Linked DNA regions of Cricetulus griseus. The protein of the gene in region 1 purifies or fractionates together with the protein of each later gene. This does not show direct contact. Links are inferred from orthologs where the notes say so. Each region holds a gene or a part of one and is shown on either strand. Other genes may lie near its edges.

The links.
Region 2: the proteins of Cdh1 (region 1) and Src purify together in Homo sapiens (affinity purification with western blotting; 5 studies listed by BioGRID and IntAct, with this or other methods). This does not show direct contact. The link is inferred for Cricetulus griseus from reciprocal best matches to the Homo sapiens genes CDH1 and SRC.
Region 3: the proteins of Cdh1 (region 1) and Plekha7 purify together in Homo sapiens (co-immunoprecipitation; 3 studies listed by BioGRID and IntAct, with this or other methods). This does not show direct contact. The link is inferred for Cricetulus griseus from reciprocal best matches to the Homo sapiens genes CDH1 and PLEKHA7.
Region 4: the proteins of Cdh1 (region 1) and Skp2 purify together in Homo sapiens (affinity purification with western blotting; 3 studies listed by BioGRID and IntAct, with this or other methods). This does not show direct contact. The link is inferred for Cricetulus griseus from reciprocal best matches to the Homo sapiens genes CDH1 and SKP2.
Region 5: the proteins of Cdh1 (region 1) and Ctnna1 purify together in Homo sapiens (affinity purification with western blotting; 10 studies listed by BioGRID and IntAct, with this or other methods). This does not show direct contact. The link is inferred for Cricetulus griseus from reciprocal best matches to the Homo sapiens genes CDH1 and CTNNA1.

What each region holds. Positions count from the first base shown.
Region 1 is NC_048596.1:182,914,898-182,918,939, forward strand, and holds the start of Cdh1 (cadherin-1), read left to right. Parts: upstream 1-1,242; coding exon 1,243-1,290; intron 1,291-2,028; coding exon 2,029-2,149; intron 2,150-4,042.
Region 2 is NC_048599.1:22,117,671-22,121,884, reverse strand, and holds the start of Src (proto-oncogene tyrosine-protein kinase Src), read left to right. Parts: upstream 1-1,414; 5' UTR 1,415-1,648; intron 1,649-2,405; exon of another isoform or gene 2,406-2,535; intron 2,536-4,214. UniProt on the Homo sapiens protein: Non-receptor protein tyrosine kinase which is activated following engagement of many different classes of cellular receptors including immune response receptors, integrins and other adhesion receptors, receptor protein tyrosine kinases, G protein-coupled receptors as well as cytokine receptors.
Region 3 is NC_048596.1:84,335,198-84,339,281, forward strand, and holds the start of Plekha7 (pleckstrin homology domain-containing family A member 7), read left to right. Parts: upstream 1-1,284; 5' UTR 1,285-1,319; coding exon 1,320-1,402; intron 1,403-1,505; coding exon 1,506-1,582; intron 1,583-1,662; coding exon 1,663-1,720; intron 1,721-4,084. UniProt on the Homo sapiens protein: Required for zonula adherens biogenesis and maintenance. Acts via its interaction with CAMSAP3, which anchors microtubules at their minus-ends to zonula adherens, leading to the recruitment of KIFC3 kinesin to the junctional site.
Region 4 is NC_048595.1:342,748,792-342,752,960, reverse strand, and holds the start of Skp2 (S-phase kinase-associated protein 2), read left to right. Parts: upstream 1-1,369; 5' UTR 1,370-1,567; coding exon 1,568-1,575; intron 1,576-2,053; coding exon 2,054-2,325; intron 2,326-4,169. UniProt on the Homo sapiens protein: Substrate recognition component of a SCF (SKP1-CUL1-F-box protein) E3 ubiquitin-protein ligase complex which mediates the ubiquitination and subsequent proteasomal degradation of target proteins involved in cell cycle progression, signal transduction and transcription.
Region 5 is NC_048595.1:202,375,355-202,379,312, reverse strand, and holds the start of Ctnna1 (catenin alpha-1), read left to right. Parts: upstream 1-1,158; 5' UTR 1,159-1,307; intron 1,308-3,958. UniProt on the Homo sapiens protein: Associates with the cytoplasmic domain of a variety of cadherins. The association of catenins to cadherins produces a complex which is linked to the actin filament network, and which seems to be of primary importance for cadherins cell-adhesion properties.

The sequences.
Region 1 (4,042 bases):
CCAGCTCCCACACTGGGCAGCTGAAAAGTGCCTATAATTTCTGCCCCAGGGGATTCTAATCCATTGGATATACTCCCTGATTTACTAGCCTGCTGAAAACGGAAGTTAAAAGAAGAGATTTTGTAGGACGGTGGTGACACATGCCTTCAATCCCAGCACTCGGGAGGCAGAGGCTGGCGGATCTCTGTGAGTTTGAGACCAGCCTGGTCTACAAGAGCTAGTTTCAGGACAGCCTCCAAAGCCACAGAGAAACCCTGTCTCGAAAAAAACAAAAAACAAAACAAAACAAACAAACAAAAGAATAGATTTTAGTGGGGTATGGTATTTTTAGTTCCACCCCAGAAGTGGGGAAGCTGAGACTACTACCGGGCTACATAGCAAGACCATGTCTCAAAAGGGAGTGGGACAGATGTTAGAACATTAGATGACTAGATGAGCCTGATCTGGTGGCTCACTTACGCAATCCCAGCGTTTGGGAGGCGGAAGCAGGAGGATTGCTTGGGCTACCTAAAACAGTTCCAAGCCAGTTTTGGCTGGAAAACAAAGAAAAAGAAAAATCAAAAAGAAAAAACCTCAGGCTATAGAGAGATGGCTCAGCCAGTAAAGGCTGATGATGGGAATTCAATCCCGAGACCCCTTTTTGGCAGAAGGAGAGAACTGACTCCTGCAGGCTGTCATCTTATCTCCACACCGGCTGTGGCGCGTGCGTTTGCGAATATAAACACACACACACACACACACACACACACACACACACACACACACACACACACGTACACGCGCGCTAAGATGTTTTTTAGTTTTTAATCCTGAAGTAAACCAAACCAAACAAACCCCTCCGACCAAACACAATAAAGAAAAACGAAATGAAAACCTAGATGAAGAGTAAAGTCCTTTGTAATTCCAAGTTACAATGACTGGGCTGGGATTCCAACGAATATGGACTAGGAAGTCTCCTCAGCCCGGCCCCATGCCACCAACTACAATTAAGGGTGGAGGAAGTCGAGGGCCGCAAGGCTCCTTGGCTGCCACCTGCAGGTGCGTCCTCAGCCAATCAGTGGAGCCGGGGGCGGTGCCTTCAGGCTCACCTGGCGGCCGCAGCCTCTGCCTGGCTCAGTGGAGTGGGGAGCAGCGACGTCTCAGTGAGTTCTCGGAAGTTCTGCCAGACTCCAGCCCGGCCTAACCTGGCCCTGCCCGACCGCACCCGAGTTCCGTGTTTGCTCGGCGCCCGCCCGGCCAGCCATGAGATTCCCGCGCCGCAGCCTCTCCGCGATCCTGTTCCTGCTGCAGGTACTTGGAGTGTCCCGACTCCCGGCAGGACGCCTTCCGGCCCTGCGACCCGCTTCGCTGTGCCTTTCTTTCTGCCTGCTGCCATCCCTCTTTCCTTCTTCAAAAAGTTGGGGTCCAGAGGCGCGGGGCTGAGTGCTGTGGAGTGGGAGGGGGGTCCAGGCGAGCGCGGAGTGGCCGCCTCTCCCGCAGGTTCCCAGGTGGGGGCGCGCCACGCTGCGGGCTCCCGGGACCCCGAGTTGAGCAGGGTCCCGCTTTAAGGCGGGCAGAGGGGCCATGGAGCAGGACGGGGTCCTGCATGAAAAAAGGGTGGGGGGCAGAAGCAGCGCGGACGATCCGAGGTAAGGAAAGGGACTTTAGTAGCATAAAAGCACCTGCCGTGGAAAGAGGGGACACGGTAGACTGGGGGTGGGTGCTCTCTGGAGTAAGAAAGAGGAGTCAGAGGGTGTTTGCGGTCTAAGGAAAGTGGTGTCCGGAAGAGTAAAGGCGTCTCCAGTGTGATGCAAATGGAGTCAGGCAGTAAAGGTAGTCTAGGCTGAGAGGTGGTGACCCTAGCAGTCCCCTCCCCCAAGGGTTCTTGGAGTTTTGTGGCTGGTTTCGGGTTGAGAGGGTGGCGTCCCTGTCTGCCCCGAGGAGGGTCCTCCCACAATCCCGATACCTCAGGCGAGGGAAGGGTTACGTTGGTGGTTTCGGTGCGGGCTTCCCCAAGTCACCAGGTTGCTTACCTTTCCTCCACCCCAGGTCTCATCATGGCTCTGCCAGGAGCAGGAGCCCGAGCCCTGCCGCCCCGGCTTTAGTGCCGAGGTCTACACGTTCCAGGTGCCGTGGAGGCACCTGGAGAGAGGCCACCTCCTGGGCAAAGGTAAGGGGGCTCTGTTGGTGGGCAGAGTTGGGCAGGGGGGAAGGAATGGACAAAACTCTCCTTTGGGATTTACGCCGACTTGGAAGTCTAAATATATGAATTGTGGTTGATCAAGGTAGATTTGTCTGACTGTGCTATTTATACAAGGACAGGGATGGGCCAAGGATATTTAGAGGTTATCAGTGTTTCTCTGACTTATTGCTGGAGCCAGCCTATCATTTTAGACCGCCAAAACCTGCTGGGTAGGGCCAGTTTGCCGATATTCCCATTTAATGATGAGCAATCTGAGGCAGGGCAGGCATCTGAACCGGGATTTGACTCCCACTATTTAGGCAGTCACTGAAGAACTGGCTCTTAGTGACCTGTGGCTTTTGTTCATAGAGTTGAAAATATTTGATATAAGTTTGGCTTCTTCTGTTCTGGAACTCGCTCTGTAGACCAGGCTGGCCTCGTTAGAAAAAGATGGTAGCACTGACTCATACATGCAAGCACTCAGTATATTTCAAGTCTTATCTCACTGTGATAATCTAGAATTTTCTTTGCTTCCCTGTTGGGCATGGCTGGGAGCAAGGCAATGCCCAGGTTTTTTTACTGGCTTCCCTATTTTTTGTACCAAAACCTCTCATGATAGAATATATATATATATATGAAAAGTCACTCAATCCCTCTGACCCTCTGACCAAGTTTGTCCTTCCAGCCATAGGCCACCAAAAATGATGGTGGTGTCTAAAATTCTGTTGTTAACTTTGGAAGTTGTGCCCAGGTTTGCTGATGTGTTTTACAGAGAAATAGCAGCTCCATTGGTTAGTTGTATTTGCTTTTCTGAGACCTGACTGGTTCTGTGGAGCTTTCTCCGCCGAGGAAGGCAGTGCTGTCCTGTGACCCTGAGGTTGGAGTGGTCAATGCTTGCCCAGCCTATTTCTACTTGCTGTCCATCTGAGGAATAATCTGAGCAGGGATAGGTTGCTGAGAGCATTTTAGGAGACCCTTCAGTGGCACTTTGGGACAGGTTAGTGAGGTGTGGGTGGCCTGGGATGTTTCCAAGGGTACCAGTAGACTTCTGGAAAGATACCACCCAGTCTTGAGCTGTGCAGGATTAGACATGGGAATTCGTTGAGTATATAGTATTAGGTATCACAATCCAAGGGATGGTAGTTTTTCCTTTGGCATGATGACACATTGTTGTTCCTTAGTTAGGATGGTATTTGTGTGTATTAGGAGTGTTGAGGATCAAACCCAAGGCCTGCTACATGCTAGCCAGGCACTTTACTACCAGTCTATTGGTGTTTTTGTTTTTGTTTTTGAGACTAGATCTCTTTCATGAACTGGGCTAGTCTGAAATTCACAATTTTCTCCTGCCTCAGATTTGAGTGCTGGGATTATAGGCTTACCTTGGCACTAGTCTTGCTTTTATTTTGCACATCTAAGCTCTAGTGTCCTGTTCATAGTGACATAGTATCACAGTTATGCTCCCAACTGTGAAAATGAGATCTTCTGGAAGGTGGACACCATTCTAGTCCTTATAGAAAGAACTCAGGGGCTTGCCTGGCTTCTGTATTGTCTGAAGCATCTAAGACTAGTCTTTTTCTGTTTGGTTCCTTTTTCTCTCAGAAAGAGGGTGGGGGCAAGTGAGAACTGAGCCTTGGTGTGGTGGTTCATCCCTATAATCGGCACTTAGGAAGCTGAAGCAGGAGGGTTGCTAAAAGTTGTAAGTTTGAGGTTAGCCTGGTCTATGTAGTGAGTTCTAGACTAACCTGCGATACAGAGTGAGATCAGAATTTTTCTAGAAAAACAAGAAAGAAAAGAGGTAGAAAGGAAGGAAGGGTTGAAGGAAGGGCAGGGTATGTGTGCCTGTGTCTGGGGAAAACAGGGTCCATTGTAAAACAGACTGAG
Region 2 (4,214 bases), on another chromosome or scaffold:
TGGCCATTTCCTCTGAGAGCCCTGGCTGTTACTGTGACCTCAGAGCTAGAGGTAGTTCCAGGTGTGAGGCCGCATAGACAGTTCAAACCTACCTCACCTCTCTCTCCTCTCATGCCAATTCTGAGGATGAGTTGTCCTTACCCATTTTGCAGGTTTTTGGTGTACTGAGCTCAGAAAAATGGCGTGTTCTTGGTCATTTATATATTTGCAAAGAGGTAGAGTTGAGGCCTCAACCCAAGCCCATGGGTCCAAAGTTTGTACTTTGAAGCTTTCCATCGTCTTAGGTTTGGAAACGCCCAATGTCCAGATCTTTCTGTTGAACTTCCAGCAATGGATGTAGTGATACGCTGGCAAATATTTAACAAGCAACTCTCTGGAAGAAAAAGCTAAGGTATGGTTTGTCAAATTTCTCCATTTCCAAGTAGAACATACTTCCTTGGAGGCCGATGCCAGGTGACCAGTCTGACATCACTGAATATGGCCCTGAGAAGGAGGACAGCGGTCCTAAGTGTTTGCAAGCCTCTGAGAACCAGCTCCAGCACCTTACAGGAAGAGTAGCCACCCTTCCCCCAGCCCAGTGTGGCCAGTGAAGGCCATTAGACAAGTCTTTGGCGGGGAAGAGGGCGGAGAAACCTGCTCCTCCAGCCAGGGCCTGCCCAAGGGAGTCCTGGGAAACTGCCGTTAAACTTTAAGCAAGTCTTGCAAACAGGAGTGGCTACTTTGCCTGCTGTTCATGAGGATCCTGAGCAGCCCCGTTCTCTCTTCTGGCTCAGTGGGCTACCCTGGCCACACTTGCACTCAGCAGTGCGGCCTTCAGATCCCAGTCCTGTCCACTCCTACCTACTTCACAACGGGAGGAGGCTGGAACAGGAAACTGATGACTGAACAAACCCTGAGGCACCTGGCCTAGATGTGAACTTAGATCAGCCTGACTCAAAGCTTTGCTCCTTCCTGGCCTGCTGGGACATACATTGTACCCTGAGGCTGGAGCCTCTTATGTTCTGGGAGGATGGGAACCTGCCCTTCAGGAGGGGTCTCCACCAGGAGAAAGCTCAGGCCTGGTGCCACATTAACCTGGTTGGGTCTCAGTTGGCCACCTGTGAGATGGGAGCACTTTCAAGGAAGGAGGATGGAGGCAGATGGTCGGATTCATCTTTCTAGAGGGGAACGGAGGAGTCAGAGGTGGACCCCCTCCCTGGCCCAAGGGGCAGCCCTAGAACCTGGACAGGGACTGGCGTTTGTGAGGGGTGGTCTTTGAGACCAACCTGAAACCACATCCCGCCCCCTTATCCCATTTTCCTTCTCTACTTCCTGTTTGGCTGATCCTGCTGTCCTCAGTGGCTGACTACCTGCATACTTCCCAGCAGATGTACGTGGTCTCTGCATGCGCTGAAAATGAATTTAGGGCTGGCCTGATGCTTGCAGTCCCTGCCCTCCATAGGCAGAAGCTGGAGCCTCCCACAAGTTCAAGGCCAGCCTGTGTCACATAGTGAGCCACTGTTTCGCCTCTTGATACATTTTAATAAAGCTGCCTCTCTCCTCCTCACTCTGCCCCTCTGGTCCCAGTCTCTGGTTAAAGACAATCAGGTCAAAGCTGGTGTGGCCAGTTGCCTCAGTTTCCGTGTCTGGAAGATAGTGCTAGCCATCGGTGCGTAGCTCAGGTAGCTAGGTTGGTCCGGGGCGAGAGGGCGCCCCCGCGGGTGGAGCTGCGGGGAGGGGGCTGGGTGCGGGAGGCGCGGGGCCCGGCTCGCACAGCAGGTCCCCCGGGTCGCCGGCGGGGCCCGGGTCCGCGCTTCCTTCTTTCTCCGGCTCGCATCGGCCGCGGCCCCTCCTCCCGCGCGCTCCCTCCCCCTCGCCGCTGCCGCCGCCGCCGCCGCCTCCTCCCTTTCTCTAGGTCTGTCTCTCCCGGCCCGGAATCCACCCGGCCGCCCCGCCGGAGCGGCCAGGCCGCCGCCCGCCAGCGCTGCGCGCCCCGCTGGGGTCCGCCCGGGCGCGTCCGGAGCCCGCGGCCGCGCCGCAGGTGAGCGCCCCCGCCCCGCCAGCCCCGCGCCCCGCTGCGGGCTCCCGCCCTGCCCACTCCCCGCCGCGGCCCGCGACCTGCCCGGCGCGGCCTTTTGTTGGGATGCGCGGGGGAGGCCGGGCGGGGCGCGGGGGGCACCGGCGCGTGGGGACCCTCGGCCGCAGAGTCCCCAGCCCGGCTAGGCCACATCTGAAAACCCGGCCGATCGGCGCCGCCCGCGATCGCGGCTGCGGGGCCCTGCGCCCCCGGCCCGGAGTGGGGGTTGGGGGTGGGGTGGGCGCTGGGGACTGGGCTCCCTGGTGGCCACGCGACCTCCTTGGGTCTCCGGGCCTCGGTTAGGGCCTGGTGCTGTTGGCCTGGCGGAGACTGGGCCACTCTGTCCTCCCCTCACCCCCGCCAGCCCCCAGCCTCGCCCCTCCTCGGGCCCAGCGACCTGCCGGCTCCGAAGTTGGCAAAAGTTTTGGTGTTTCAGTACCACTACTAGGTCCACTTGCCCACCCGGGCAGGTACTGGAGGTGAGTTTGTGTCCCCACTAGAACCACCACTTGTCATGCTGTGTGTCTTGGAGACAACTGCCTTAGCTCTCTGAGCCAAGGCCCTTCTCAGTGATGGGTAGACGGCCAGGACTGCTAGGCTGGTTGAAGAGTGGAGTGGACAGAGGGGACTTTTCCCTGGGTAACCCCTAAACCTCTAAGGTATTCAGAGGGAGAAAAGTGGACAGAGACGTGTGAGGCTTATGAGGCCCTAAACAAGGTCTTCCCTGACTCACAAACTGTGTGAGCAATGGTGATGGGTTCACCTGGGTGGAAGTCAGATTCAGTTTCCAAGGTGGGCATGGGGGCGGGGCGCGTGCGGGGGTGGGGCGGGGCGGGCGGGGATGGGGCTCTTTCCAGACTTTTGAGTCCAAGCATCAAAGTCTCTTGTTTTCCTGGGTGATCTGAGCTGGGGGCTGCTCCTTGGATCCTTCACAGCAGTGACAGGGTCCTCAGGTGATTACTCCCTGTGCTTCTGGCAGCTAAGGAGTTGGCATGCATGGGGTGGGGTGTCAATAAATGAGTTCCACCCTGGAGCCTGCACAAGATGACTGGGGTGCTTGTGGCACAGCTGCCTGCAGGAGAGGGTAACTGTGTCTCGAAGGGTGCCCTAGAGCCTCAATATCCGAGCACCCTCCTGTGGCCCACAGCTGTGTGAATATAGTCAGCTCTGGGTTCCTTTTGCCTCAGTCTTGTCAGAAAGGAATGATCAATCAGATTGTGAAGGCACTCAGTGGTAGAGCACAGGCTTCGCATGCCCAAGGCCCTGGTGCTAGCCTTGGCACTACAGGACGGACAGATAAATCAGGTGGAGCCATGATGATCAGAGCTGTTGAGGTTCACTGAACTCCTCCTGGGGCTAGCTCAGTCTGCAGCTGGAACTGGAACTTAGACTTCAGAGGAGCTGGCTGGCTGCCCTTTAACCTGCAGTGACAGTGAAGGCTGTATAGTTTGGGGTCAGGAACAAGGCATTGTTGGAAAAAGACTCCTCCCATATCACCCCCACCTGGCAGAGCCATAAGGCCCTGCTGGAGATGGGGTGTGTCCCGGTGAGGTGGCCTTTCCACAAGGGGAAGTGACTTATAGTGTGTCACCTCTCAGCTGACTGCTTGTATCCTGGGGTACACACTGAGAATGAGTGTTAGGGGCACGCCCCATCTCATGTTCATCCTTGTTCTTCCAGCCTTAGGGCAACCCTATCTCTCCCACCCAATCCTCTTCTGTTTCCTGTCGTGTCCCTTTCCCCAGCCCCCCACCAGCCTCCAGCTTATAGGCTGCCTCCTGCTTGGGCTTTTACCCCATTCTCATCTGACAGTAGGGGTGGGAATGGAGCATGTCTGGGTCCTCTAAGTCCCAGGATCTAAGGAGGACTGGCTAAATGGTTTTTGTCCCTGTTATCCACCTGGTCCTCGGCTGTCTTTGATCGTACATTGAGCACTTACTATGCACTAGGGCCTGTGAACTTTGTTGAGCAGCTTTGTGGTAGGAGGACGACAGCTTCCTGAAGGAGGAGCTTGAGCTGGAGCAAGCAGTGGCCAGCTAGCCAAGAGTGCAGCTGGACCAGTGTTCTTCCCCTCTGCTCAGAAGGTCATCTGCCTGGGGACTTGCTGGGAAATTGTGAACAGGTCCTTGGCTTCTAGAAACTGGAGTAAGGCGGATAA
Region 3 (4,084 bases), about 99 Mb from region 1:
GGGTTCAGGAGAGCCCCCGCCCCCAGAGTTGGATACTTAAAGAGGCAAGTGTTAGAGACTGCAGACTGACAGCTCTTCCAAAGGGAAAGCAGGGAAACCCAGACATCACCTCTTTTTTGTCACCTGTGAGAGCTGAGGCAGAAGCAGCCTGTGATCTCTGCAGCTTCAGATGTATGGGGGCATGGAGAGGACCTGTACCTGCCGTGAGCCCGGGAAGATAAATGCAAGCTTGCCCTGGTGGGTACTAGAGCACCCATTGTATGCCAGGTTCCAGGGAAACTACTACACCTACTCTGCACACAGTTCCTGCTAGACCTCATTCTTCTTCTTCTTCTTCTTCCTCTTCTTCTTCTTCTTCTTTCTTTCTTTCTTTCTTTCTTTCTTTCTTTCTTTCTTTCTTTTTGTTTTTGTTTTCAAGACAGTGTTTCTCTGTGGGTTTGGAGGTTGTCCTGGAACTAGCTCTTGTAGAACAGGCTGGTCTCGAACTCATAAAAATCCTCCTGCCTCTGCCTCCCAAGTGCTGGGATTAAAGGCGTGTGCCACCAACGCCCGGCTAGACCTCATTCTTAACCTTACTTTTTGAGACAGTGTCTCATAGTTGCCCATGTTGTCCAATCTCCCGACTCGCAGCAATCCTCTTCCTTCAGCCGGAATCACAGGCAAGCTTTTCACTTATTTTACAGAAGCCCTGGAGGCTCTCCCTCAGGAATCCAGCAGAAACCTGTTCGGTGTTCCTAGGCTAAGAAAGAAGCACACTTCCGGGGAAAAGAAACTGCGCCGTGCAGGTTGGCTGGTTTTCCTGAAGCAAGGGTGTGCGTGTGTGCGTGTGCGTGTGCGTGTGCGTGTGTGTGTGTGTGTGTGTAGGCAGTGTGTTCCATCGCCCGCGGGTCTGGGGAACAAAGGCTGAGGGGCCCTGCGCTCCTGCCGGTCCCTGCCCCTGCACCAGTGTACTTTGGAGTCATCGGCCGCGATCTCGGGCTCAGGCACCAGACCACGAGTCACCAAGGATGGGAGCCCACGTTGCATCCAGCACAGGAGAACAGAGTCGGGTCCATCTTAGTCCCTTCCCATTATTTGCCTCGCCGCCTCACTCCTTCCAACCTCTTGGACCCCTCTCTCTACCCCTCCCCACGCCTTACCCCTTCCCTCCCTAGCCCCATCCAACTTCTTGCTCCCGGACTTCTTGCTACTCCAGCTCCCTGTTTCTTGTCCCTCCCACTCTAACTTCTTGCACCCCTATCTCCCACTCGCCCCGCCCCCTGCCCCGCCCCTTAGCCCCTCCCCCCTACCGCGGCCCGGGGCTCTGGTGCTGGGCGAACATGGCGGCGGCGGTCGGGCGGGACACCCTACCTGAGCACTGGTCGTACGGCGTCTGTCGGGACGGCCGCGTCTTCTTTATCAAGTGCGTGAGGGGCGGCGGCACTCGGGTAGGGTCGGGCGCTGGGGGCTGGGACCCGGGGCGGGTGTGTGGGGCGGTGGCGCTAACAGGTGCACCTCTCCCGCAGTGACCAGCTCGGCTGCACGACCTGGCTGCACCCGCGTACCGGCGAGCCAGTCAACTCTGGTCACATGATCCGCTCAGGTGGGCGCAGGGCCAGCGGGGAGTAAGGGGGGGACGCCACGGACGCGCGAGTTTCACCGACTTTTCTCGCCTTCCCGCAGACTTGCCGCGCGGCTGGGAGGAGGGCTTCACGGAGGAAGGCGCCAGCTTCTTCATCGAGTGAGTGAGCCTGCTCTGCGGTCGCACCTGACTCTCCCCTCCGCAGCCTTGGCGGGCTCGGCGCCCCGGGTTTGTGTGCCCGAGGGTGGCGGGCTCGGGGACGGCCGCGCACCGGGGTTCGCCGCGCCGCGGGGGGCCTGGCCCGGTTTCTCCCGCCCGCCGGCGGCCGAGCCAGCAAACTCCTAGGCTCCCGGGACACGCCTACCCCCGGGGCGTGTGTTGGGCACAGTGGCGGGTGTCAGGGAGTAGGGCTCGCGTGGGTCCCGAGTGTGGCCTTAGGGCTTGGGCGTGGGGGAGGGTGAAGAGGGGCGGCGACGCTTGTGGAAGGTGGTGTCTGGCCGCGCTGCCTGGGATCGCCAAGGAGAGCTGGAGCGCGACCCTGGCGGCTGCATCCTTGCTCCTCAGGGATGGGATGGGGGTGGGGCTCCCGGCCAGCCAATGATAGTCCTGGATGGAACTCTACCCGCGAGTCTTCGGCGGGCGCTGAACGCAGACGAACGCGGACTATCGGCTCTGCCTGGACTAGTGGGAGTAGGAGCTTTGGCGTCTGAGCCGCGGCGTGCTGCTGCACCAGTTACTCTGGGTCTGATCTCGAAGCCATAAGGGACACGAGTAGAGTCTTAATCTTTCCCGCTCGGGAAGGTGTGCCTGTGTTGCAGCGTCCCTCTGCTTCCTGTGGTTCTTGGGAGTCAGAACTTGCCTTTGAGCCTTTGCCCCACTGGCATAGAGTAGGAGCTCGGTAAATGTTTGTTTATCGAATGAATGAACTAGCTAAAGATCTTCCGGCCAGTGGTTTGACTGGCACTAGGTGTACTGTACTGTGGTGGATCGTGATTCAGAATTCATTTCTCCACCAACTTGGAAACACTGTTTAGACCTGGGACTCTTGTATAGTGGCTGAGACTGATGGATGAAATTTTAGGAGGGGAGGTGCTCACTGTTCCTGCTCGCTGCTTTGAAACCCGCAGGAGGAAAGGAAACAAAGAGTGAACAAATAATAATAGCAGTTAGCGGTGACTGCTGTGCAGAAAATTAACACGAGGGGATGCGATTTGGAGTGATTGGGTGACTTGTTGGATTGGAAGGTCGTGATGACTTTTTCTGTGCAGGTGACATCTGAAGTTTGAATGCCAAGAAGGATCCTTGCTGTGGTTGACCAGTAGGGGCAAAACATTTCAGAAACATGTTTAAGGTACAAAAACCTTCAAGTTCAGTGAGCAAAGAGGCTCTTGTGGCTTGAAGGTGGTGACCAAGGGAGAGTGACACTGAAGGGGGTCACAGGTAGGGAGGTAAATGATGAAGCTGGACTGAAGTAAATAGCTGCTAAGCTTTATTCTGAGCCCAGGGAGAATGCAGATGTTTTCGAATGGGAAAGTGGCATGCCATGCTTTGCAGTTGTAGGAAGAATGGGTCTGGGTGGACAGCGGTGCCAGGGTGACAGGAGAGCAGTATGAGGCTGTGGTCCAAAAAAGACTGTAGTGGAGGGTGGAGCACAGAGATGGAGAACAGTCGTTAGACTCAGGCTGTGCTTTGGATGTAGTATTTACAGACCTTTCTAACGGGTTGGATGTTGTCTGACAACATTCAAAGATGACTCTCGGGGACTGGGAAGGTGGCTCAGTTCATTAAAGTGCTGGTCACATAAGCATGAGGACTCACGTTAGATCCCATAAGAATCCAGTATAGTGACATGTGCACTTGTAATCCTAGCTCTGGGGTGGCGGAGACAGGAAAATTTGGGGCTTGCTGGCCAACCATCATAGCCTAATCTATAAGCCCCAGGGGCCAGTGAGAGAAGCTGTCTTAAAATACAAGGTGGACATCTGAAAAATAACACTTGAGGTTGACTTGACTTCTGGCATTTATATTCACAGGCACACACATAAGTATGCACTCATGCACTTGTGTAGTACACAAGAACACACGCAAGTTCACATGTATACACTCACACATGCACATAGATGACTCCTAGAGGTGAGAGTACCTGAATGGGTGGTGTCCATATCTTTGAGATGAGAAGGTTGGACTAGAAACAGGCTTGAAAAGATGATAAAATAAATATGCTAGGTGGTGTTGGTACACACCTTTGGTCCCAGTACTGGGGAAGCAGAGGCAAGTAAATCTCTGTGAGTTTGAAGCCATCCTGACCTACAGAGCGAGTTCCAGGATAGCCAGAGCTGTTATACAGAGAAACCTTGTCTTGAAAAACAACAAAAAGATCTTATTTTGCTGTTGTACCTGTAAGATGGGAATATATCATATAGATCAGCGGTTCTTAACCTGTGGGTCGAGACCCCTCTGGGGGTTAACAACCCTTTCACAGGGGTCACCTAAGACCTTGGAGAATATTATATTTACAGGTAA
Region 4 (4,169 bases), on another chromosome or scaffold:
AAGCTTTAAGGTGTGCACTAGGCCAGCACGCTTTTCTTTTTTTTCCCACTTTTACACCAATCTCACTTTTAAAAACGAAGAGTTTATAAATCCCTCCCTCTGCCAAGGGGGATTGATGCAAGAACCACGCTAGAAACAAACACACGCCTGAGCAAGAGGGATTTAATTCCGTTATAAAACCAGTCTTGGCCCCTCCCCTCATAGAAACTCAGGGGCATGTCATCTAACATATGAACCAATATTCTTAACTTTATGATGGAGCTAGCCTGCTTTTGTCCATCAACTTTATAAACCCTCTTCATTTTTACTGGACTTGAAATGCATCCCCTACCCTCTCCCCTGTGGCCCTGGAGTCACGTTTTTAGCACAGTTTGCACACTAGCATTTCGCATGGTCATTCCAATCTAATCGCCCCCGCCCCCCGACCTCTTCAGAGAGCCTAAATTAGCTTAGCTTTTAGGCAGAGAACCAAAGGGAAGTTGTGGGTTGAGTCAAAGGCACCATAACAGCTTTTCAGGGTGGTCTCTCACTGCAAGCATAGGGTCGTCATCTGATTCCCTTGGCTGCATTTGAGAGACCCGTCAAGGATACACGCGGGAACCACCGCTGGCTCCTGCTGCCCTCAAGTTAACCACTGCTTCTCTGGGAACTGCGCTGGAGCTTCATAGGGCTTCCACACGCACGTTATCTGATGTGATCCTCAGGCCAAGCCCGTGGGGTGTGCGTCGTCCCCGAGCCTATTTTACAGCTGAGGTAAGGATGGTGTCCACAGACCCAGTCCTAAGGGCCGCCCACTGCCAGGTGGAGGAAGTAGCCGTCTGGCAGGAGGGCAGGTGTGCCTCCCACAGCCTCTCACCTGGCGGGCGACCGAGACCAGGGAGATGGGCCTGGCGGCGGAGGCCGCTCAACATGTCGAACCCCCCAATCTATCTCCGCCAGCCTGGGCCGGGACCCCAGTCCCCGACCCGCCTCACCACCATCTCCCCCGCCCCCAGGCTCACCTTCGGATCGCGGCAGACAGCGTCTGGAAGGGACTGAGAAGCTTCGCGTCCGCCGCAGCCTGCCGGGGTCAGAGACCCACAGTCCAAGGCGACCGCGGCGGTGGTCACCCAAAGGCCTGTGGGCTCCGGGGGAAGAAAAACCCGTACCCGGTCAGTCCGCTGACATTTCCCCGTCAGTCTGAGCTCCACCCACTTCCGCTTGCCTGTCCTCTCCCCAGCCCCAGTGCCACCCTGCGCCGCGGGGGGTTGTGGGTATCTGGAGGGTTTGGCAAAAAAAAAAAAAAAAAAAAAGTAAGAGCGGAGGAAGGAGGAGTGAACCTAGTCGGACTGCGAGCCAGGCCCCAGAACTACAATTCCCAGCAGGCGACGGGGCATCAGAAGGCGGCTGCTGGAGAGCGGGATGCAGAACTCCGCGCGCGCGGTGGTGATGGAACGTTGCTAATTCGCGGGTCCGGCTGCTGGGGCCCCGGGGCATTACTCTGCGGCGCGCGCTGGAACGGGAATCTGGGAGGCAGGCAGGTCTTCACTTAATACACGCATCCAAAACCCCTCAATCCGTGAACGCAATGCACAGGTAAACCGATTGCAAAAACGGGCAAAGCATGAATGAACCGTTTGAATTCTTTTAGGCCGCGAATGTTGCTTCTTGCTCATCTTATTATGTGAATGGTTGCTTAGCCCCCTTTTTGAAGATAGTGGATGGATGCATGCTTTCGTGAGAATATCTATGTGCCGTTTAATTTGGCTTCCTAATTTGGTTTTCCTCCCACTATTTTGAATCATGGTATGAATGCCTTCCCTCTTTTTCCCTCCACGGGAAGAAATTATTGAGGCCTTCTGCGGGACCATAAATACCAAAGCCTTTCGAAGTGGAGTGTGTGTTTCCGATTTTCTTTCATTCTTGTGAGCTCGCTGTAGGCACGTTAAAAATGCAGTACTGTTACTCACTGTAACTTTTCTACACTGCATACTTGACGCTTCTTTCATTCCTACCTTGGAATTATTTAGGGGTATGCTTTCAAAAGGAATGGGGAATGTGTGCCCTTCTGCAGGAAGCACCTTCAGGAGATTCCGGACCAGAGTAGCAACGTCACCACTAGCTTCACATGGGGATGGGATTCCAGCAAGACCTCTGAACTGCTCTCAGGCATGGGTGTCTCTGCCTTGGAGAAGGAGGAGGTGGACAGTGAGAACATTCCCCATGAACTGCTCTCGAACCTCGGCCACCCCCAGAGCCCTCCAAGGAAAAGGCTAAAGAGCAAAGGCAGTGAGAAAGACTTTGTGATCATCCGTAGGCCTAAGCTCAATCGAGAGAACTTTCCAGGTAAAGTATGATACTAAAATTCAAATTATATAAGAAATGGATTGCACTGCTTTGTTTGAATTAAATTGATTGAACGATTTCCTTGGGGGATCTTTAGGATGGGTACCTAAAATTGCCTAGTTTTGAAGTGTTGCCGTGAAATGGAAACCAGTCGTTGAAGTCTCCTGGAATCTTGGTAGGTATTTATCTTCTGGTTCACAATTGACTTGAAACTTTTAACCCACAAGACAGCATTCCTCCCCTTTTCCTTACAAGGGAATCTCCCTGCTCAAAGTTCAGCTCAGCACACTGATGAATGGGAATACAAGCAGGATCTTAGAGGATTCCTTTAGTCTCTAATGCACTGCTTTGTACCAGAGTGAACTTTATAACTTAATCACTTAGGTTATTTGGAGGCACACTAGGAAGGTAAATGTTAATCTAGGGGGAGGAGATTTACCTCCCTGCTCCACTTCCAACAGGCTCTTGGGGTGTTGTGTTTCCAGTTCTGTGGCATTATAGTTACAATCATAGAGCCCTAAAACTTACTTAGTCTGATCCCCTATTGTCCCCCAATTGACATCTAGTCATTGTACCTTTCCTTCCTTTGTGACAAGTGATCCAAGCTTTCACAATCTCTTCCTGAATTATTGTAATGGGTTTATAATTTCAGCTTTTTTTTTTCTCAGTTCTGTCACCCAGAGGTGAAATGGATTGATTAAAATAGAATTTACCTTAAATTATCCCCTTACTAGTGACTCCCATTCCCTTATTTCCCAAATATTTTTAAGCAAATGCCTCCCAAGTAGATCAAGACTCAAGCACCCAGGGCCATAGGGTAAATATAGTGTATTGACTTGAGGCGTTGACAAGGTTCTTTTGTTTGTTTCTTGTCTTTTAAAAGAGTGATTCATAGCCGGGCAGTGGTGGGCATACCTTTAATCCCAGCACTCAGGAGTCAGAGGCAGGTGGATCTCTGAGTTCAAGACCAACCTGGTCTACAAGAGCTAGTTCCAGGACAGCCTCCAAAGCCACAGAGAAACCTTGTCTCAAAAAAAAAAGAGAGTGATTCATCAAATATTTGCTGAAAACACACTATGGTTTCCACAGTATAGTGCTACGAATATAGCAGTGAACAAATCATACACATTTCTAAACCTTAGAACTTCCTTTCCAGTGAGGAAATAGTATAAACACATTAGACATGCTATTCTATGTAATGGGTTAGGCCATGGTAGCCAAAAACAGAAACAGATCAAGCTGGGGGAGAATGGAAGCCCTGCAGTCAGAAGATAGATTGTAAACTGGGTATTAACTAAAACCCTTAATTGGATAGTGACCTTTAAGCAAACAAAGGCAAAGTGGAGAGAGAGCAGGAGTATGTCATGAAAATGTCTCTTGGTGTAAAGAACCTTAAGCAAAAGGAGCAGCCACTGTAAAATTTCCCAGAGAAAAGACTAGGCCATATAGTAAAAGTAGAGTAGGGAGAAATATGGACAGCCCCCTTCTTTTAAGATCTTACCTCATTGAACCCCCCCTTCTTTTTTTGTATTTTCATGTTGTTTTGAGACTGGGTTTCTCTGTGTAGACCTGGCTGTCCTAGCACTCTAGACCATGCTGGCCTCTAATTGATCTACTTGCCTCAGTGCTGAGAATAGCAATGTGGGCCACCACCCAGATGCTCATTGAACCCTTTAAAGGAATACATTGGTAAACTGAGACTAAACTGTAGCAGGTAGAGTATAGACAACAGAGCTTAGAGACATGTTAAGATGTGGGGAATAATAAGCAGTGGCCAGATTCTGAATAGAGTCCAAATTTAGAGACAATAGAAATTAGAAGGGTATTGAGATTGTTAGTGGAGG
Region 5 (3,958 bases), on another chromosome or scaffold:
GGGCCACTATCTTTCAAACCACCAGAGTCAAAACCCCCAAACTAGAAACAAAAAGCATGTAATTGGACAAGAATGGCCTTTTTTGTTTGTAGTGCTGAAGACTGAACCCAGGGCATAGTAGGCATCTCCAAACCACTTTTCCTAGAATTAAAATTTATTACTTTGTGTGGGTGAATATGCCACCTGCACCAGGGTGGAAGTCAGAGGTCAACTCTGTGGCCTTCATACTCTTAGTACGTCATTGTTGGTAGAGGGCAAACATTTTTACCCACTGATCATCTCTCTCATCTGCCCACTCTTTAAGAGGCCCCAAACCAAGTGTAATGGTGCAGGCCTATAATCTCAGCAGCTGGGAGGTGAGCAGGAGAATCAAGAGTTTAAGGCAAGTTGGCACTGGCCACCCAGCCCTGCAACCTGAGTTCAATCCCCAGGACCCACATGGTGAGAGAAAACCACAGATTATCCTGATTTGTACACAAGCACAAGCTTTGTGCCGCCCCTCGGCCCAAATGCAAAAAAAAAAAAAAGTTTATTCTTGCCGACATAGCCAGTTCAAGACCAGTTTGACCTACGTGAGAACCTACCTCAAAAATAAAACTAAACAAACACCAAAAAACAAAAAAAAAACCCGAAACAAAACAAAACAAAAAACCGTTCTGAGAATCGGATTCCCGTTCCACTGTGCCGGGAGATGTGGAACGTTTACTTGGAGTTGTTTCTCTTCGGGTAAAGCAAGGAGTAGGCTGCCCCCTTTTCTGGGCGCCTTGGACCAGGGGACAAGATGACATTCGCCACAGGAGTGAGACCAGCAGGACCCCGCGGCGTCACGCTGGTCCCGGGACGTCGGACGGGGCGGGGCCTTCCGGGGCCGCGCCCCGAGACTCACCTGAGTTGGGAGCGGTGACTCACCTGCCCTCCGCCCGCCTTCCCCGGCTGCGGGCTGTTCCGTGAGTCGCCGCCCCTCCTTCCCGTCGGGGGTCAGGCTGTGCGCGCCCCGAGGCCGAACGAAAGGGACTTCTGGGGGTCCCAGCCTGGAGTTGCCAGGCTACCATCCCGGAGGGAGGCTCTTCCCCGAAAGCGCCCGCCGCCGCAGGCCGGGACGAGCGGTGTGGAGGCCGCGGGAGGCGCTGGGAAGAGCGCGCGGAGGGAGGTGCCGGGAAGGGCGGGCGGGCGCGGCGCGGGGCGGGCCGGGGGCGGGAGCGCAGGGCGGCCCATTTCCTCCTGGGAGCCGGACGGGCGGGAGACAAAGCGGCGGCCGTCGGCTTGGCGCCTCAGGAGTCGTCCTGCGTTCTCCTCGCTCGCCGCAGGTAAATCTTTGTGCCTCCCCTCGGGGCGCGCGCGGGGCCCCTGGTGGGCCGAGGGTCTCCGCTGGCCGGGGTCCGGGTGACGGCGCAGGCAGGCTCTGGGCGGCCTCCGCCCTGGGGAGCGTCGGGCCAGGGCGGCTTCCCGGAGCAGCCTGGGCCTGGGCGGGCGGAGCCCGACGCTCGGGAAGCGGAGCTACCGCCGCGGCGCCTTCTCGGAAAACTTTCTCCCTCTTTCTAAACTTTGTTCCCCGAGCAGGGCGCGCGCTCGCGGGACGGGCGTCGCGCCTCGGGCCGCCTCCCCCGCTGAGAGGCGACCTCGGAGTGTCTCTGGCGTTCCGGCGGTGGGGTGTTTTAAGGGTCGCGATTGTTCCCTGGATTTGTGCCGGCCGCGCCCCTCCCCCCTTTCTCCCCCTCGCTGAAAGTTGGGCGTTTGCGGGGGCCAGAGGTCGGGGGAGCTGGCATTCCAGTCCGACCCACGGAGTGTGAGAGCCGTAGCTTCCTGCTCTCCAGGGCTCTTGTCCTTTAAGGTGCGCCACACCCGTGTGAACCTGTGGCAAGAAGTTGTTAATCTTTACTTTAAAATTACTCATCCGCGTTCTCTGCCTGACTGGACTGACTTTACACCCAGTTTTCAGGAGTGGCGTTAGGGTCTTGTTACTGACCTTGTGCTACCGAGGGCTGGTCTTGCTAAGTAGCCCAGGATGGCCTGGAACACTCGGGCTCCCTGCCTTAGCTTCCCGAGGGCGGACATTGCAAGCCTGCGATGTCAATGCCCCGCCTTCCTTTAAAAGGAACTTGTTAATGTGTGTAGAACTTGGAGGAAAAATGTTGACTGGATGGGTAGCCTTGGATTGCAAGCAGTGGCCATCCCAGTAATTCAGTTAGCAGTTGGCTCAAATTGACGGTTGATACCCTCTTAAGTTCTTCGTCTTCATAACATTTTTTGTGTGTTTTGTATAGAATGCACAATAATTTATAATGTAAACTCATGCATACATCACTGTATTGTGTATGTGTATTGTATCTTTATGATAGGTGTTTTTGAAAAGGATATTTTGTGTTTAACTGATTCTTAAAGACTACAGGTGGTTGTTACTTTAAGAAACGGAGTTTGTTTTAGTTTACAAAAGGATTGAGCGGGGAAATCATTCGTAGCCTCTGCTCAATTGTTTATACGTCCTGATTCAACTAAGTCAGAAAATAGGTTTTAAAATTACTCTTTGTTTGAGGATCAGAAGTTTCTCTAGTGTCGTATCCTTTTTTTTTTTTTTCCCCTCAGACTGGCTCTCACTATGAAATCCACGCTAGCTTAAGCTTCTTGATTGTTGGGATTCAGACGTGTTCCATACGTAACACCTGTCTGGGTCAAATTTGTGTATAATGCAAACAACAGAAATTCACAGATGCTTGGAGTGTTAATACGTTTATAAGTCTGGGAGTCCTGGAAGGTGGTGGCTTTTGAATTGGGTGAAGCACGAGTTGAAGTCACGTGGCAGGAGAAAGTAGGGGAAAGGCATAAAAGGGCATGTAAGTGTGGGGAATCTGATGTTCTGTTTTTTGTTTTTTTTTTTCTTTAGTTTTCACTCCCTCCCTTTCCTGCATGTAATCTATCCTGAGAACATTGGTTTTCAGCACCAGTTATATAGTACCACCTCCATTCCCATCAGAAACATTTTATATATTGGTTAGAGATGAGGGGTGTCTTTTTTCCTAGTTGAGAATCACTGCCTTGTGCCTTCTCTCATCAACCCCCCTTTCTGCCCTCTGTGGTGTTGGGGAAACAAACCTAGAGCCTTGTATATGCTAGTCAAATAATGTACCATGAGCTGTACAACCCCCCTTACCTCTGCCATCAACCTTAGCTGCTAACGTCCCGCTCCTTTTTTTGGGTTTAGGTGTCTCTCTTGAGCCACATGGGTCTCCTTGTATATCCCACGGCTTCTCAAACCATATCTGATGTGAGACTTAATTCTGTTTTGGAGATCTCAACCAGATGTGGAGAGCCAGAGTAACTGGTACGAATGGTCTTGAATTCTTTTAAAGTCACATTACTGACAGCACAGATAGCCCTGCTTGTTGAAGGTGGTGATAGTTAAGTGTACTGGCTAAAACCTAGACCAGAATAAAGGAATAGGGTCCTTAACAGATGTATATAGCCTGAGCATTGGCACAGTATTTGGAGGACTAGAGGTGTAGAGATGATCTTTGTATTATGAGTACTGAAATAGGGAGGTTTAATAAGGTGGTCAGGGAAGGCAAAGGCCAGGTCACAGATGGCTGTGTGTAGATTTTATTCTAAAGCTGTAAGAAGCCATTCTAGGGCCTTCCATGATCTGAGCAGCTTTTTATTTTTTGTTGGTGCTCAGAGATTTGAATTCTTTCGTGTCTAAAAGCAGGGAGTTGACTGAGGAAGGTAATGTGGATAAAGGTGATCAGGATGAATGGAGTTGTATTTTGGAAAAGGGGGTAAAGATTGGTTTGGTGATGGGGTGTAGGCCTCTTGATAAAGTTTTTTTTTTAAGCATTGAACTCTCAGTTATGTCTCAAGATCTAGTGTAGCACGAATTCTAGCAGTCAGCTATCAGGCTGAAAGCTGAAAGATCACAGCAGCAGAGCAGCCTGCCCCTAGAGAGTTCTCACCTCCACCAGTGCTC